Linked DNA regions of Drosophila melanogaster. The protein of the gene in region 2 interacts with the protein of the main gene of each other region in a pairwise test. Each region holds a gene or a part of one and is shown on either strand. Other genes may lie near its edges. The genes, in order: isoQC and CG13407.

Evidence for each region.
Region 1: the proteins of CG13407 (region 2) and isoQC interact in a two-hybrid assay, tested with the Drosophila melanogaster proteins (one large-scale study listed by BioGRID).

The regions. Positions count from the first base shown.
Region 1 is NT_037436.4:20,472,456-20,477,750, reverse strand, and holds isoQC (iso glutaminyl cyclase), read right to left. Parts: upstream 3,286-5,295; 5' UTR 3,225-3,285; coding exon 3,108-3,224; exon of another isoform or gene 2,960-3,107; intron 2,790-2,959; exon of another isoform or gene 2,365-2,789; coding exon of another isoform or gene 2,254-2,364; intron 2,187-2,253; coding exon 1,239-2,186; 3' UTR 748-1,238; downstream 1-747. Other genes in the region: CG5969 (uncharacterized protein), read right to left, coding at 3,474-3,719, 3,782-3,853; CG32428 (uncharacterized protein), read left to right, coding at 4,777-5,110. UniProt on the Drosophila melanogaster protein: Acts as a glutaminyl-peptide cyclotransferase. Responsible for the biosynthesis of pyroglutamyl peptides. Might be more efficient in the conversion of tri and tetrapeptides in vitro.
Region 2 is NT_033777.3:22,101,480-22,106,321, forward strand, and holds CG13407 (uncharacterized protein), read left to right. Parts: upstream 1-1,934; coding exon 1,935-2,023; intron 2,024-2,590; coding exon 2,591-2,776; intron 2,777-3,051; coding exon 3,052-4,111; downstream 4,112-4,842.

The DNA.
Region 1 (5,295 bases), on a different chromosome or scaffold from region 2:
AGCAGAGCCACTGTCTAGCTAAGTAACGATAAGGTGAAGGGCCTGCGGGGAGCGGGTCTCCAATAAGGCAAACAAATATACAAAGACAAAAATTGCCACAGCAAAGACAAAGAGATAAATAAAAGGCACAAAATTGTCACAGCAATGCATGCGCCAGTATCGGGTAGCGAAGTGGAGTGGGTCAAAAACAACAAAGCTTGAAAGGGCTGCGAAGCCAATGTAGCTAATTAAATTTCGAATGAAACGACAGTGTCCCGCGGATGTGCGAAGGCGGAATGAAATGCACACAATATGGATTGCAAAGTCAACCACAAATCAAAATTCGATATTTAAACTTCATAACAGTAACATAATCTTAATTCGCAACACATATAAACGTTTATTGTAGTGGAAATGCCGATTTTCTTAATTTATTTATGTAACTCGCACAAACATCCCAAATATTTTAAAATTCTAGACGCAGTTTGGAGTAGTGTTTAAGTTGAGAATCCCACTTACATGATTCAGGGTAGTGGTGTGGGTTCCTGGAGTTGGGTGCCAATTAATTAAATATAAGGTGCAGGTCCCTCGCCGCGGTCTCCGGCGTAGGTTGCAGGTAACGGGGGGTTCCTCTGTCACTGGGAGGCAGGGCGGTTGCCGCAGACCTCTTCTCCTAGATTGGGAGATATGGTGGGAGAACGTCTCTCCGTTGTTGACTGCCCTTAAGGCTAGCCAACCAATTCAATGATAACAGCAGTAGCTGGAGTTGATTGAAGGCGCGATGCGCTCTTTATTGAATACAAAATCAAACTGACTATAAGCTAACAAAGGGAAAAACATCATAGCGGCCTCTGCCAATGCGCAGAGCTTCTGCCGGCTATGCATGAGCTTCCGGCCAAATGCTTGGTCAGCAATTTGACCGGTGCTGGTGTGCGGACAATCAGTCCGGTTAACTTAGTTAACTTACATAAGTGAAACAATTTACAACCGAAAGATTACAAAAAATATATAAACCTGACGTGTCATTAGCTAAGCATTTTCTATAAATACATGTGTATAAAAATATTTGGAGTACGCGTGTTGCAGATCTTCCCTTATTAGTTTTAAAGCACGCAGTCGGTTACAACAAGGTTTTCTAGGGATCTTCCGGCGGGCATAAGAACTTCCAACAATGCTCCGATACTGGAACAGGTCAATTAGATAAGGCCTGAAGTAGATACAACATTTGTCATTTGTGATTCACACGGAAGCCCACTTGACTACTTGGCCTCGGTTCCGGCCAGCAGATACTCCAAAGCGAAGAGCCGTATAATCAGTGCCAGGTTGTCCGTCGTCGCATAATCGATCACGCTGGCGTTATCGTCGGGCGTATGCCATACACTGGGAAAGGGCACCGGAATGAGGTGCAAGATCGGCACATTTCGCCGCAGGAAGGGTATGTGATCGTCCTCGATGAAAGAGGATCGCATGGCCTGCGACTGGAAGTAGCGGGTGGGGTCGCGCTGGGCAACTCCACTGCTGGCATAGCGCTCCAGGAGCTGCAACTTGGCAAGACGTGTCTCCACGGACTGGATACGCATGTACCAGGACTCGGTGTTTTCGAAGAAGCTGTAGAATGCCGGATCGGGGGCTCCCAACAGATCCAGGAGCACCAGCATATCTATTCTATCAAGTTTTCCTTCATGGTGCCACTTTTTGGCCAGGTGTCGTGCTCCATAGATGGAGTCCTTGGGTCCCCACTCCTCAAAAGCCTCCTCGCCATCGAAGAACAAGAGCATCAAACTCAGTTTGCTCTTCTTGAGGGGTTTCAACTGCTCCTGAAGCACCTGGGCCAGGTTGAGGAGCATGGCACAGGGCACTGCCGAGTCGGTGGCCCCCAGGAATTCCACTCCAGGCATGTATTTGCTATCATAATGGCAGGACAGCACCAGATATCTCTCAGCATTTGGATTCAGGGTGGCGATGATGTTGTGGAAATGCAATTTGCCTTTGATGGGAGCGTGATCATGAAAGCTGTTTACTTCCACATCCCAGTCTAGATCCCTCAAACTCTGGACGATGTATTCGCGAACGATGCTATGATTTGTTGTGCCCACAACTCGAGGTATAAGGATTTTGTCAATGGCTTCCCTTAGGTGTAGCTTATCGGATAGATTGCTGTACTCCAGGAATCGGGGCTCGGAGAGCTCGCTGGGATTGTAGGATATCTGTTTGAATTAAAAGAAAGCACATATTAAGCAGGCGGTTGGTTTAGCTGCATTACCCTCCATTGACCTGTGTTCTTCCTACGAGATTATCCTTCTGGGAAGTGGATCCCCTCACCAAGGTGGCTATCAAAGCTGTCTGCACGCACAGCGTCCACATTCTAGCTGTTCGATGTAGCATATTTAACCGACTGACTTAAGACTACGTGGCTGAGTGTTTTTGTTCGGCGGTGGGAGTGTTGTGTCCCAACAGGTGGTTGCAATCAATAGCGGCAGGTTCGTAAGAAGTTTAAAGATTGGTCATCCGGCTGCGCAACTATTTTGCGGCACACTCCGGCTTGTACTTAAGACCCTTTGGCGAGTCTATTAAATTATCATTTTGGCCAGTTTTTACGGCCGACTTGTAAGGCACAAAATAACAAAAATGGGCGTCGCAAAGGGGGTCAAAATGCTAACGAAAATAACACTGTCTATAGGTAACGCTCGTTGTGGGTGTCTATTTGTTTCCCATCAGTAATTTATTGCACTCCTCTCAAAAATCATTTAATTTCCTTGTTTACTAATTCAACCAAAATCGTTTTGTTTACGCGTATTATTTAAACAGCTGCTTGCCATTTGTATCAGGTGGCAGCACCAGTCCCGAACAGGTGGCACCCCCATAAAAACAGGTCACGGGCGTGTCTAGATTTAATGAGCAGGGGTCTTAAGCAATGGTTACACGAAATATTCAGTTCACTAGCCATTCTCTTCTTACAAAATAATAAAATGACTAATTTGTGCTTCAATCAAAAAGAAAACATATAATATAAAATTCAAAAACATAAAATTAATTTATCAATATAATAAAATCCCCGAAGTCAGTATACTTTATACAGAACTCCCCTTTCAAGCAGAGAGTACAAATAAATGTATGTTTTAGTTAACCTTAGGAATATCCACCAGTTCGAAGCAAGCGCCTAGATTGTAGATTTTTTTGCGCGGTCTCGGCAGCAATCTTTTGACGGCCTCCATTAGGGAATAATTTCTGAGTAGCAGACGCATTTCACTTATGCATGTATATTTTTAATACAAATTATGCACACAGAACACTACACAACACAACACGTTTTCCACGCTGTTATCGAAACTTATGCAATGAAAAGCGATTACACACGGTTTACAGGCGACTTTCTCCTCCCTCGCTGGCATGTAAACAATTGTATCTATATATGTAGCATGTATGTATGTACAAGAGTGCTCTACCGACTTAAAGTTAATGGAAATAGGGTAACAGTCCGGGGTAGATGAGGATTAGTCCGTTTTGGAGCCCTTGGAACCGGGTGCCCCAAAGTAGGCCCTGTATATATAGAGTCCCAGGGCGATGTGCAATGCAACGACCGCTCCCACGGCGGATGCTATGTTCACTTTGACTTCGGAAATGTCGAGGAACTGGTCCAGAACGAAGCCCTTCAGCACAAAGAAGGTCAGCACGGGCAGGAAAACGATAAGCATGCAGTAGAAGAGCACTGTCTTGAAGGAGCTGTAGTCCTGCGAGTCCTGGGCATCCAAAATAAACAAGGGATTAGCTAGCCGGCAATCGGAGCCGTCATGTTACATACGTGCGACTGCTGGCGGGTTTGTTTCGGCGCAACTCCGTTGCCTCCGGCGGCTTTCTTGTTCTTGGTCGACATCTTTTCAGTTAAATAGAATGCAGCTTAATTGAAAAATCAGCAATTTCTCTCAATTTCTAGTTTTGCTTTGGTCTGCCATTCGGTTATCAGAAATATTTGACAAATCACAAATCACATGATAAAGTGGTAGTACCGTGCCAGCATTCAAAATATACCAGAAAATACTGCGACTAGTCGATTAATCGTTGGTATCGTTGCTATCGAAATATTTTCAACTAAATTCTCATTTTTTAATTCATTTTAATTGAGTAAAAAGTTAAAATTATATCAAAATAAAAGAGAAGTATTGAAGCTATTTCTTTAGGTATACAAAATGAAGTGTCATATTTGTTCAAGTAACATATTGTACGCTGTTTCGCGATTTTCGATAATTATAAATATAAATATATATAAATTATAAGTTTCCATGACTTCCAATGAGATTCATAAGATCTGCACTATTTTTGCAACCACAGCTGTCTTTTCGCAACTTCTTCGGTATTTTTCTCCAGGGTCGCACGCCTTATTGCGACACCAGCAGTGTGGTCACACTGGAGCGAAAGGAAAACAAAAGAGCAATCGTGAATCGAAAGGCGCACGCGGCAAAATGTAAAACTTGCTTATTGGTTTATTTTTAACAGTTGCCGTCACCGCATTTACAGTCGCATTTCGGCCGAATGCTCGCGCGCCCCGCTTGCGTGTGTTAATTGAATTATTTCATCCATTTTAGCAACTGCTGCGTATTTTCGGCGCTTATTAAGCCGACAGAGCCATCAAAATCCATACTGCATACAAATACGATTTCAATTAGGGGAAAAATACGCGCCTGCAGTTCGCCGCACGATTTCGTACAGTACAGTACGGACGCAGAGGAGCGTTTTTTCCGAATTTACTGTACTTGCTTTTCGGTTTTTTTGGGGAAATTCCACTGCAGCTGGCGCGCGATGGTTTTGACGAACTTCGAGTGCTGGGCACATGGTGATCCGTCGTCGTCGGCGGCCGCCACTTTCGAAACTGGAGCGCTGCGTCCTTCGATGGATCCGTTCAATCCACGCGCCGTCACCTTCATGACCGACGCCAACAACAACAACAACAACAATGATGGCAATAACCTCGCGGCACAACCGATGCCGGTCGTCCTGCCTCCGGAAGTCCTGCGCTGCAAGAAGCGCCTGAATCCCGGTCACAATCCTGTCGGGGATTTGGACACGGACCAACCGGTGTACACCAAGAGATGTCGCTACGACGAGTCTGACTTGGCCGCCCAGTACTGCAATGGTGAGTATCGCTGCTCAAAAATGCAAGCTTAGTTATTTAATTATTAAATTGTTTAAGGCAGTTTTATATTAGGCTTACTTAGCAATTGCACATGCAATAATTCCAATAAATAAATTTGTTGTCGAGCAGCCTTTAAATATTAAATATCCTCATTAGTTTCAGAAAACACTCAGAAATATATTATT
Region 2 (4,842 bases):
TAAAAATGTTGGTGGCAAATGTTCGGCTACTAGTTAACTACAATATGTCCGAGTCAACTTGTTATTGACTCTCTGTCTCGGTCCTGGGAGGGCTTTGAAATATGTTGACAATGGCGCCAGCAACAAAAGCTAAATATAAATACCCAATCCACAAAAAAAAAAAAAAAAAAAACAGCCCCCCATTTATGTTCTCAAATTTTCAACCCCGCAAGGCAATTGACTTTTCGATATGCTTCCCTTTTTTTTGGAAGAATCAGCAAAAGTCCTCTAGTTTCTTTTCCATAGTTTTTTGCCCAACATTTCCTGTGGGCCAAATTTTTGGGGGTTGGGGCAGCGCGACAAATCAAAGCGTTACAAAGCTGGAAAATGTGTGGAAAAGTTGCAGTGCAATTTATTATATGCTTTTGATTCTGCAAATCTAGCTGATGTTGTTCTTTCTTTTTTGTTTTGCTCCACGTTGTCGCTAGCACTGCGGAAATGTTAAATATTTGTTATTGCAGTCTAATGTTTCCGCTTTACGAAAGACAACAGACAGGGATTTTTCGAGACTGTGCTATGTTTGTGATCGAAGAGTTGTATACTTCTTGTTTAAAAGTAGTATATATATTACAATTAAATATAGTTAGAAAAAGTTAGTGGAAGATCAGAGCACTTGTAGTGTGTGATAACTGATATAAGCAGCACTAATATACCCCATAAAATTCAATTCAATATAAAAATCTTTTCTGGCAATGAAAACTATTAGCCCCAGTCATAAATCTTTAAGACCAAAGGCGTGGATGTGGAGAAGTGGAAGTGGACCCCAACCAAAAGCCGGGTTCGACTAACCGCACAAGGGACCACAAGAACCGAGCTCCATTTGGCTGCACAGACGACAGTGGCAAAGTCTGGGCCAGACATGGCACAATTATGACAATTTCTGATGCATAACGCTGCATCCATAGAGCTTTTAATGCAATAAACAAGCGACTGGAGCGTCATTAACACTGACAGGAATCGGTAAGGGTAGGGAGTAGGAGGAGTGTAGGGGGGGGGGGGTTGATGCCAAGGAGCATTCCCGGCCTTTTGTCGCTCACTAATTGTCTGGCCTGGCCGAAATGTGCAGCGCATGCATGCAACGCAACGCTCCAATTCAGGTGTGTGTCAGTTGGCCGTTGTCGCCACAAAACACTTTGCCGGCAATTGTCAGCTGGCTTTTGGGTACGTGTTACGAACAGTGATGGGAAATGGAAATACTTTCTCCACGGAGTACAAAATTAAATTAAGATACTAAAGATTACCTTTCCTGAAATTCAATAAAGAAGCAATATAGCAAAGTGGATAAAGTAAGGAGCTCTCGTTTAGAATCTATAACTTCTTCTTTTAATAAGTGAGTTACTATGTTTTTTGTAATTTTTGTACTTGTACCTAGTTTAAGTATTGGTACAAATGCTTTGCTCGAGCCGTACCTGCCAACACTGCCATTGAGTAGTTGTTTTAAGGCCGTTGCAGTTGCAAGTTGCTAGTTGTAGCCAAACTCACTTAGCAGCTGACAATGACAGTCGCCTGCCTCTCTTCTTTCCCGCATCACCAGCAACACCACTATCAGCACCACCACGATTACCACCCACTTCAAGTTCACCTGCGTTAATAGCCGCCTGCCAGGCAAGTGTCTGGGAAAGGCTTTGCCCAGTTGCCTAAACGACATTGTCACTTGCGGTTGGTTGGGCGCATCATCTCCTGCTGCTTCAGCCCCAAACTCCAGTTCGTCGTGCTCGTCCTGTTAGTCCTGATCGTCCTGTTTGCGGCTTCTGCAGTCGAGTTGCCATCGGTTTATGGCAGGTTGAGCACCAGCGACAATGAGCCACGCTGGTGCACCGTGTAGTGATAAACATGCGCGCTTTTCGGCACAAATCAATTAGCAATTGAATTTGGTGAACTCAAAGACGGTGAAAATGTCCGACGGCCAAATGACAAATCAACTCAACGTGCAACAGCAGGAACAACATCCGCTGCTTTCAGCCATCTCAGGAAATAATTATGCGTAAGCCATGGTCAAAGGCATTGGGATGTCGACTGTATTTGCCATACAGCCAAATCAAATTAAATTTGATATAATTAAGAAGTGGCACACTCACTCAGTTCCCTAGAATTATATTGTTAATCTGAACTCGCTTAAGTGCTTTTTATATATTTATCAAGAAGTCCTGCTAAACAACATCGTAAATAATGAATTAATTCTTTTTCAGTCATTGATATATGCAAAACTTAAACGCTTTAACAAACTTCTTTCTTCTATCCTACGTAATATTAATAATCGCTTAAAGGAGCCTTGAAAGAGTTTAGTCAGTTGCAACAGGATAAAGTGTGCTCTTTGGCTTAAAGATTAAGTGCTGGAGTGCCGGAGGCAACTGCAATCGCAAACGACCCCTGGCCCAAAAGACAGCCACTGCGGGCGCGGACTGATACCTCAGGCACTTAGCCGGGCTAATGTGGGACACAAACAGAAGCGGCGTCTCGGCCACACAACCACATGCCCAACCCCCCCCCCCCCCCACTCACTCATCCGCTTGCCCGCTTTCACCACTCACCTTCTAACCTTCTCTTGCAGTCAAACGCAGCGTGTGCATTACTATCCCAACCACTACTACCCGAGCCACTACTTGCCGGGCCATTACCACCAAGGACACCAAGGATACCAGGGGCAGCAGGGACGACCACCGCTCCTGGCGGCCGCCAGCAGCCACAACGGTGCTTATGCGGCCACGGCGGCTGGCAGCGGACACTCCGGCTACGGGTAAGCAAAGAACCACCGCTGCACTGAGAGAAAAGCAATGGGATGAACAAGAAAATTCATTCCAAATATACAAAGAAATTAAACTGTTATGAAAAAATATAAATAACTATTTGAAGATGAATATATACTTAATAATATTGATACTAATGAATACTAAAGTTTCGAACTTATCAACCTAAATTACCTATTTCTTCCTGTGCACTGGCCATCAAAGTCAAACCATAACCCCAATTCCAGTGCAAGTTCCGCATCTAATGCCAGTTTGAATTTTGCAGCGGCATAGAGCCATCCGTGGAGTACGAGCTGCAGCATGACCCACCCTCGGGTAGCTTCTCCTCCTTTCATCCCAGTAGTGCGGGCAGTGGGCCCGCATATCCATCTGCCCACCATCCGCCGGCTGGTCCACCACCGGCTCCTCCGCCCACCAAATCGTCAAAGAAATCGAAGAAGAGCAGCGGTTCGGTGATGAACGCACTAACGCTGCTCTCGTTCTTCTTCTTTGTTAACATGCTGCAGAACTGCCTGAAGGATCATATGGCTGACATGAATCCCACCGTGATGGTGCTCACAGCCAGCGGCACTCGCAATCGTTTCAACAAATTAGCCGAGATGAATTCACGCGAACAGACCTCGACAACGGCCACCGAATCGGTAACGGCATCGGCAGCGGCATCATCTTGGAATCATCAGGCTGCTTTAGTTCCGGCCGTCGAGCCAAGTGTGCCGCCCTCCATTGTTACGCCCACGGTGGTGCTGCAATCGCCCTACAGCCGTCACACGGAGATGGCCAATAAGCCGCCCCAACGCCAGCCAATGGAGTACCAGTCGAACCCTCAGCAAAATCATCACGATTATCGGCCCCACAACGCGAATGATGATGCTTATAATTACGGGCAGCGCCGACCTCCGCCTCAGACCTTCTCCACCTCCGATGGCGGCGATTTCTATCCTAATCGCACACACATCGACCACTCGTCCCGGCCCGACTTTGAATCGGAGTCGGGCTCCGATTACTATCAGCACCACTATAACCCGTATGCTGGCACAAACTCCCATCGGCATCCTTGGTCTTATGGCAGGCAGCGTTACTCATCCGCACCGTGGTCTTCAGCTTCGTTGGGCGCTCAGTCGGGCGTGAGCTCTTACTTGGATAATGCCCAGCGACGGCAAGGTGATGATGACGATGGTCATGGTTATGGCTATGGCTATGGCCACAGGGATAGGGATCGGGATAGGGATAGGGATACGGATGCAGATGGTTTCTGGGATGAGGACGAGAATGGTCAGCAGCGGCGACGCAGCGATGCTTTCTATACTCGCACACGCATTAATTGAATGCAAGAATTCCGCGCACATTTCTATGTTGCATGGCGGGGATTTGCTGCATTAACCCATTGCACAAAAATGGGGTGGCATAATGTGGATGGGCAAAAAAAGATGTGAATGGATTTTTTTTTAGAACAGCTAAAGCAGCGTTTATAGCTTATGGCATTTTACATTCTGTAAATATTATCCACGCTCTTTCGTTGTAGCTTAAAAATACCACATTTAACTTACTTGTATTATTGATTTTCATATAAAGTTATAATACGATATAAGAATTATTTTACATTACCTTTAAAAGTTGTATATCATAATGCACGACCGAGGGTTAAAAATGCTTAGCTTACATGTATTTATAATTAAAAGCAAACAACGTGCATAAGAGCTGACAAAAAATGAATGGAAAAAGGCGATGAGGCGGTGAGGCAGACAGACACACCCGGCAAGTTGGAATCGTAATGAAAATAAATGCTAATTTGTTGCACAACAAATTAAAAGTGCCCCCAGATTTTGCCTGGCGCTTGGCTAAGACTTTATTTTATTGCCTGCCACAGCAACTAAGTTGCAATTTTCCGGACTCACACACCCGTTTGTCTAATACAAATCTGTTGCATTGCTACCTAGCTAGCAGTTTACTTATTTAGTGGGATTTCGTTCTTGGCTCCACAATAATCACGGCCAATGAGCGGCAAAAGCAAACTCGTGTCTGTTGGATGGTGGCACTGGGGTAGCTTTAATTAACA